Xenopus tropicalis: one gene and its partner. The protein of the gene in region 2 interacts with the protein of the main gene of each other region in a biochemical or structural test. Links are inferred from orthologs where the notes say so. Each region holds a gene or a part of one and is shown on either strand. Other genes may lie near its edges.

Region 1 (4,621 bases), on a different chromosome or scaffold from region 2:
AATTTGTACATATAAAATTATTATAAAAAATATAAATTATTTTTTCTATTTATTATAGCACATATATTAAGGTTGATACTGAGAATACCCATCATTGCGCTAAAATGGTAAGATTTCCATAGTCTAAAAGATACTGATTGGTCATTGTAGAAAATGTGATTGGCCAATAGCCACATTACATGTATATGTATGTTCTGCCACTAATCAGAAGTCTTAAGGTGGCCATACACATAGCAATTTCGATCTTTCGTGATTGTTCCCACCCTCATCTGACTTTCAGGGCTGAATTGTTAGATATGGATGTAGAAACAAAAGAAATTCTACCTCCTTCTGCCGATTCAGCCCTGAGCATAAATTTTGTTTGGACGCCTTCAATGGCACCCAATCAAAATCCTTTAACCATAACAAAACGAGGTTTCGCACGATAATATCGGTGCATGTATGGCCGGCTTTAGTTATCTAGTTGCTGGCCTTTACTGTAAAACTGACTCAGTTAGGAACTAATAGGAACAATCATTTGATGGAGGTGGGTATTTTTTCATCCTCTGCTACTGTACTATGTACATTGCGTTATTCCATACACACTCTCTCTTTTTTTTTAACTCTAATACTCTAAGCAAACATGACCTTTGTGCAGCCTATGTAAAGAACAATGCTAGACCTTGATTCAGAACTGGCCTGCCTCTGTAGATCTGGTTTCAGCAAACTGACCTGTAAACACTAAGTCTGGAGCAGCAGTGGCATTCAAATGTAATTTGCTCAACGGCAGAAAAATTGTTTCAGGTAATAAATAGCAGTTGTCAAAATCCTTGTCCTGATCAGTTATACCTGTAGTAAGCACATGGACCACTTGAGAGTCCACAAGCAACCTGCTATCTAGGTAATCTCTATATTATGTACCTTAATTATATTACTCAGCAAATGCCAACCAACCAGAATTGCAAGTTTGTGGCTCCATGCTCAGACCATATAAATGCAGATGTGGAAATCTGTAAGTCACTGACGTAGAATGGGAGACAATCACTGCATGGGGGTGGGGTCAGGGCCCCACTTGGCTCATATCCAGGGGCGCTGCTGCCATGAGGTAAATTGAGAACTTGCCTCAGCAGTTACCAGGGGCAGCAAAATCAGAATTTTGGCTCAATGCACTGGTGATGAAGTATCGGAAGGCCTGCCTCAGGGTGGGCAGGGACACCAAATTAGCCCTGCTCATATTTATTAATTGTACAGCGGAATATGTTGGCGCTTTATAATTACATGTTAATAATAATTATTATAATGACATCAAGCTGGGAGATCATAATTTCGCTATTTCCGCCACATGTTCTGTGCACATCTGCAGGGGAATGCAATAAAAGTCGTTAATGGAAAATTATTCACAATGCGAAAATGTATGGCCTTGCACACATTTTATGCTTTCTGTGAACTGAATATAGCATTTGTGAACATGGAAACTGTTCAGCATTCACTGCTGCCAGTTGAAGAAAGATTGTGAATTTTATAACTTTATTAGTTTTATACCAGTATGTAATGAAACTTCTTACTAAAAAATGTTATTTTTCCTCCAATAGTTAGTGCTATCTTCAAGCACACCTTAAAAGTGCACTATGCACAATTAAAATCAGCAATGCAATAACAAAGGCTATTACTTTGCAAAATGCAAGTTCACAAATATCGCCAATAGTGAAGTTGAGTATTCATTACTATGGCAACAACTGGAGGGGCCCTGGCCTTCTCCCTGATAAAACATAGGGCTGGGGCAGTAGCCCCCCAATTGGGCATCCCCATAGATCAGATTCCAGAAGTATAGCTGGCCATACATAGTCAGAACATTCAGATATCGATATCGTACATTTAAGTGCAACAATATAAATCTAACATTCAGACTGAAATTGAAGGATAAAGTTCTAAATATAACAAATCAGAGGATGTTAGGAACACAAAATATCTTTGCAAAGGGGAAGAAGCACACCATTGTGTCGGCAATGCCTTTAAATCATTTATTTGCAGAAATTAACAAACCCCTTCTTCAGGTACAAAGTCGGGGTCACCCCCGAAAGCTTGTGCTGTTTGTTCATTTCTGCAAATAAATTATTTAAAGGCATTGCCGACACACTGGTGGTGTGTTTCTTTCCCTTTGCAAAGATACATGGAAAAAAGGCTTGGGAGCGCCCGTGGAAGTCAAGCACCCTTTGAGAACATGTATGTAAGTGGTGTGCTGAAGATTATTTTTTATGTTGAAGGAACACAAAATAGTTGGCAGATACCTATGGTACAAAAGTGACTTTCATTGTGGTCCCCCAAGGATATTGTCAGATACACAATACATGCGCAGATTTTATTGTCATTCAACCAAAATATTCGCCATGGTAAGAAAATTATCGAGATGATAGCTCTGAGCCCACACACAATGTAAAAATCAGTTTCGTATGATTTTATTGTTGCGTGTATGGCCAGCTTAAGTAGTAGTTCAGTCTGGGTGCTGGCCCCTCAGTTTGGGAACCAATTGACTAACCGTGCATAATATACACCCACATTAGATTTCTTTACATTTAAAAACCAATATTTACATCCTTATTACCTCTCATCTAGTTAAGTCACTTACAATGTATGCTTATACCCACAGCACTAGAACCCCTAAATGCTACAACTCAATCTGCGTAGTTACAATAAACAGAAATAGCAAGACTTTCATTTCGTTTGCAACAAACACATAGAAAAATGGAAGGAACAAATAAACTGAAACATTTCTGCAAAAATTGCCACTAAGTATTCTGTTAACGGATAAGATTCCAGATGTTTGCAGGTGAGAGTGTGGGCAGCGCTGATCCTCTGCTGCTAAACGACATTTACAGATCACTTACCGACATGGCGAGGCAGATGTGCGCAACGCTGTGCGGCTCAGAAGATCTCTCTAATACACCTCAGCTCTGCTTGCTGGAAGGGAAGCCCTGATCAGGCCCAGCCCTGCTTCCTGTCCCATGACTGAGAAGGAGGAGGAGGAGGAGGAGGATGGTCTCAAACTAGGAAAGAGGAGAGCAAGAGCCCAGGGTCCTTTTAGCTGACAAACCATAGGAAATGATGCTGCTGCCATCTTCTGGTCCGCATGGCCCAAGTGAGGAAGAAACAGTCCTAAGCATGGGAGAAACCGGCAGAAAGTATGTACTGGGGGTTACTTTAACGAGCCACCTTTGTAAGACTCATTACTATCTCTGTCAAGTTAGAAAGCCACTAAAGGGTAAAAGCTGTCACATGGCATAACTTCAACAACTTTTAGCACTACAGTCAATTTAAAGCTACAGCTCCCAGCTTTCCCCAGGCAGCAGAGCTAGCAGCGTTAGTGTAATGGTAAAGTTCTGCAACACTGAAGGCTGCTTAGCCCTAATTCGCTTCTAGCTCAAGTCTATTTCCTGATCTTTACAATTATCATATTAATCTTCCGAGAGTAGGGTTATAGGGCATATTAGCAGGGGAATTAGCAGGGGATGTTTGCATCACAGTGGAATGATAGCAAAATGTAATGATAGCAAAGTTAAAATTATAATTTTCGGGAAAGGCAGTACAAGCCACAGATAGTTAACCCTTTTCTTAACATAAAGGCCTTGTTGAATATACTAATATTAATAACATTCTTACTTGGTAGAGGTTGTGTGCCCATCATTTAAAAGACTGCATTCAAATCTGCATGGTAGGGTGTGTTTAACTGGGCCCAGGATCATGCATGATATTGGAAACTTTGACTATGTGCATGACGTATTCCAAAGTGCTTACCTTTATTCTTTACACTGAGTCATAGGGAAACTAAACCCACCTTCTACCTTAACATCTCTCCCAGCTCCCCCCTCTCAATGTATTAACAGGGCTTCCAGAATTTGCTCCTCCTTCTATAAGGGTGAAGACACACAGGGCTACTAGTAGCAGCTACTAAAATAGACAATGCTGACAGGGCCAGAACTAGGGGTAGGCAGAAGAGGCAGCTGCCTAGGGCGCAACGATTGAGGGACGCCAGGCAGGAGCCTCTCCTGCCTACCCCTAGTGCTACTTTGTCATTGCCTCCACCGCTTGTCATTAGCGGCGGAGGCAATGACCGATCTAATCGCCCTGCCCCCCCCCCCCTGCACCGCCTCCTGTGCTTTGGCGCGCATGCGCCGTTCGGGGGGGAGGTGGGCGGAGTTGGCCGACCGAGTTGCCTAGGGCGCCCGGTCGGCTTGGCCCGCCCCTGAATGCTGATCATTTACTGATAATTGTCTCTCTGGGGCCATTTATTAGAGAATTATAGAACTTTTTGTAATGTCCACGATAATTTCGTTAAAATTCCACTACTTTTTTGTGGTTTTCATTAACTTTCTCGAAAAAGTCGTATTTTTTGCAAAGACTAGGACCATTTCGGAATTCATTCAAGCTTTGGTTTCGTGACTATCTTTTGGCCACGTTGGATCTGTAGAGTGCCATTGAGTCCTATGGAAGGCTTCCAAAATCATACATTGAAGGTTTCAAAGCCAGAAAAGTTTTTGCGCCGCTTTCTAACGCTTGCCTAACATTTTGGCACCCCCAAGTCCCTTTGCCTTTCCTTGTCCTTTAAGCACAATAAACTTTGCTTTCATACATGCAGTTTATATTG
Region 2 (3,823 bases):
AGTGATAATCAAAGAGCTGTCTGTGGTTCCGATGAGAGAATTTCTGTAAGAATTCTGTTCATTTAGTCCTTCTTCATTCTGCACTAGAACACTCTCTATATTATTCACTTTACAGCTGATGCCACATCCAGGGACAGCCTGGAAATCTGTACAATATCCTAACAATTCTGTACCAAGTTCCTATAAAGGAGAGAGAAATAAAAAAAAAATATTACATTCCACTGCAGTCCAATAGTACTTAAAGGGGTTGTTCACCTTTAAATTAATGTTTAATATGATAGACAGTAATATTCTGAGACAACTGTTTTTTATTCTTTGTTTTTTTTAGTTATTTAGCTTGTTGTTCAGCAGCTCTCCAGTTTGAAAATTCAGCAGCTATCTGGTTGTATGGTCTGAGCAACCAGGCAGTGGTTTGAATGAGAGACTGGACGCAGTGGCGTAGCGAGGGGGGTGCCGAGGGGGCCATGGCCCCGGGCGGCGTATCAGAAGGGGCGGCGGCGGCTCCTTCTCTCTTACAGGCAACAGGCGCTTTTATAAGGTTGCGCCCGTGCGTATGACGTCACACGTCAGCGACGAGGCGCAACCTTATAGAAGCGCCTGTTGCTTGTAAGAGAGAAGGAGCCGCCGCCGATGGTCTGTTGGGGGTATGTACTATGGGGGAAATTGGGGGCACTGTGTGGGGGCTACTGTCTATGGGGAAATTGGGGCACTTTCCATGGGGGGGGGCCAGGTCTTTGTGGGGTATTGTGTATGGGGGCACTTCCTATTGGGGGCACTGTGTATGGGGCAATTGGGGCTCTGTGTATGAGGGCACTTTCTATTGGGGGGCAAGGTCTTTGGGGGGTATTGTCTATGGGGACACTGTGTATGGGGCAATTGGGGCACTGTGTATGGGGGCACTTCCTATTGGGGGCACTTTGTATGGGGCAATTGGGGGCACTGTTTATGGGGGCACTGTGTATGGGGGCACTTTCTATTGGGGGAACTGTGTATGGGGCAATTGGGGCACTTTCTGTGGGGGGTCAAGGTCTTTGGGGGGTACTGTCTATGGGGGAACTGTGTATGGGGAAATTGGGGCACTGTGTATGGGGGCACTTCCTATTGGGGGCACTGTCTAAGGGCAATTGGGGGCACTGTGTGGAGGGGGCTGTCTATGGGGACACTGTGTATGGGGCAATTGGAGGCACTGTCTATGGGGAAATTGGGGCACTTTCTATGGGCAATTGGAGGCAATGTGTGTGGGGGGCACTGTGTATGGGGCAATTGGGGGCACTGTGTATGGGGGTACTGTCTATGGGGCAGTTGTATGGGGGGACCGTGGCCAGAATAGCGTTAGGGGGGCCTGGCCAGCATAGTGTTAGGGGGCACTGTGGTAGGGTGACCCTAATACTTTTTATGTCTGTGTGTCCTGTACTGATGGGAGGGGCCCCGTGATTTCTGATGGCGGCCCTGCCACCATGGGCAGCCACGGACGCACAGCTGAATCCACTTTTGACAATTATGACACGCGCACCGCATTTCAAATTCAATAAAAAAAAAAAAAAAATTTAATGCTGCTTTTTTTATTTTGTCTATTTTTTTCAAGAATAACTAAATAGAGGGGCGGCAAATTTCCGGTCGGCCCCAGGCGACGAAAGCCCACGCTACGCCACTGACTGGACGATAAACAGGAGAGGGACTAAATAGAAATAAAAGGGATGAAAAGTAACAATAATAATAAAAATGTAAGCTTAAAGAGTAATAAGGTTCTGTGTGTCTAAATCTACATCAGGTTGCCAAAGTGGAGGCCTTAATAACATCTTTGTATGCCATCATTTTAATATAATATGGCCTTGACATATGTGGTATGTCAAATAATCTACTCACTGAAAAGCATTGGGAAGCTTCAAAGCACTGATCTACTGGTTAGATTTACTGGAATAGTGCATCACAATGCGGCAATGGGATATCATATTTAGACACTGAATTACAGAGCTGATTGGTGCATTATGGCTAAAGATCAGTCCAAGCAGAACACGTGTTACCTCCTTGCAGTATTTTGTGACTGCCATTCCCAGAGGATGTTCGCTGCTGGCTTCCGCCGTCCCCACCACAGCAAGCATCCTTTTCAGAGGCATCTTCACCACGTCGCCTAGCAGCAGCACTCGCATGACTTTAGGTACCCCATGTGTTATGGTGCCGGTCTTGTCAAACATCACTGCCTTTATCTAGATATAAAAGTTCACAACTGTATTGCATATTAAACAAGTATTGAGGAGGTAACTTTTACCCATTGAGGTACCTATTGTAACTAAAGGAAACACAATTTATAGTGAATAGATGTTACATATACAACCTACGGCCCTTCCACCTATTGAAGTAGTTGTGCAATGTGACTTTGCAGCAGTCAGGACAGCATTGGGCATATTATCCCTTATAAAAGGATAGAACACACAACATACATACAGTACATCTTTATTGGTTACTGACCTTGTGAGCCATCTCTAGTGGTTCACCGCCTTTAATAAGGATGCCATTCTGAGCTGCCACTCCTGTACCAACCATTACTGCTGTGGGTGTTGCCAGGCCCAAAGCACAGGGACAGGCGATGCTCAGCACCGTGATGGAGGTCTGAAATGCCACACGTATTATAACCTCTGTCTTAGAAATATTTTTACTGTAACTCTGAAATGATATGGAAAAATAATATGTTAACAGGGCAAAGTAGATCGAGGGTGGATGTACTAACAGGTCCATTGTTTATCCAGGTATTGTTTCCAATAGCAACCAATATGGAGTCAATTTTGGCACTACCAATTTAACACAAACCTACCACATCAAATTATATTATACTCTGAATAGATCAATGAAAACAACAGTTTTAGGCTAATTTCACGCATGGCATTTTCTAGTGAAAAAACACTAGTGGATAAAATACTTACCGGAAAATATTTAATTATGATGTCAAAATTTACAAAGCCAATAATTATCCAAGTCACCAAAGTCACAACAGAAATAATGATGATAAAGGGAACAAAGTATCCACTTATTTTATCTGCCAGCTGCTGGATAGGTGCCTATAAAAGAGAGAATCAATTATAAGCACATTTAAAGAGTGATTTATGCATATGTCTGTGCACGTGTGTATAATATGCAGAATTCCATATTCATTCAAGTATTTTTAGCCATTTATATTAGGTTTTATCTTCCATATATTGGGCCAGATTCAGTTTTATATTTTATGTGTTAAAGTACTTGAACTGAATCTGGCCCATTATATTGGAAACACACGCAAAAGGGATCATACTAAATCTAAACATTTGATTTAAATAGCTCACTATTGGGCTCATTTAGGATTGCTAAGGGTGCAAGTGCTTGAGCACTAAGTGGTGCAAAATTGTGACCCCTAGGGCCCATTCACCAAACACTTGCTCCTGTAGGCGTATGTTGTGTTCTACAACAGTAATACAGGACTCCCCAAAACCTAGCATACCTCGGAGCTCCCTAAATATCTAAATAAACATCTAAATAATATACTGTATATGCAGCACTCCTGAACACATGTAGCACTACATGCAATGCAACATGGCGATTCTATCCCTGTTATTGGTTTGATCACCTTGATAGAGCAAGCTTCTACATCTACTCAACTACAATCCTCGCTGTAGACAATATTTTATCTGCTATACATAACCAGTACCAGTCTGCTAAAAAATCATTTAATCATTAAATAATCCCAATAAGATTGGTTTGCCTCCAGTAAGGATTAATTATATTGTAGCTGGGTCAAGTACAAGGTACTGTTTCATTATTACAGAGAAAAAGGAACTAATTTAAAAATTGA

Evidence for each region.
Region 1: the proteins of atp7b (region 2) and atox1 form a complex in vitro, tested with the Homo sapiens proteins (3 studies listed by BioGRID and IntAct). The link is inferred for Xenopus tropicalis from reciprocal best matches to the Homo sapiens genes ATP7B and ATOX1.

Annotation. Positions count from the first base shown.
Region 1 is NC_030679.2:16,843,213-16,847,833, reverse strand, and holds the start of atox1 (copper transport protein ATOX1), read right to left. Parts: upstream 2,954-4,621; 5' UTR 2,871-2,953; coding exon 2,865-2,870; intron 1-2,864. Other genes in the region: g3bp1 (ras GTPase-activating protein-binding protein 1), read left to right, coding at 3,079-3,158. UniProt on the Homo sapiens protein: Binds and deliver cytosolic copper to the copper ATPase proteins. May be important in cellular antioxidant defense.
Region 2 is NC_030678.2:150,000,248-150,004,070, forward strand, and holds part of atp7b (copper-transporting ATPase 2), read right to left. Parts: intron 3,057-3,823; coding exon 2,922-3,056; intron 2,665-2,921; coding exon 2,470-2,664; intron 2,208-2,469; coding exon 2,025-2,207; intron 181-2,024; coding exon 1-180. UniProt on the Homo sapiens protein: Copper ion transmembrane transporter involved in the export of copper out of the cells. It is involved in copper homeostasis in the liver, where it ensures the efflux of copper from hepatocytes into the bile in response to copper overload.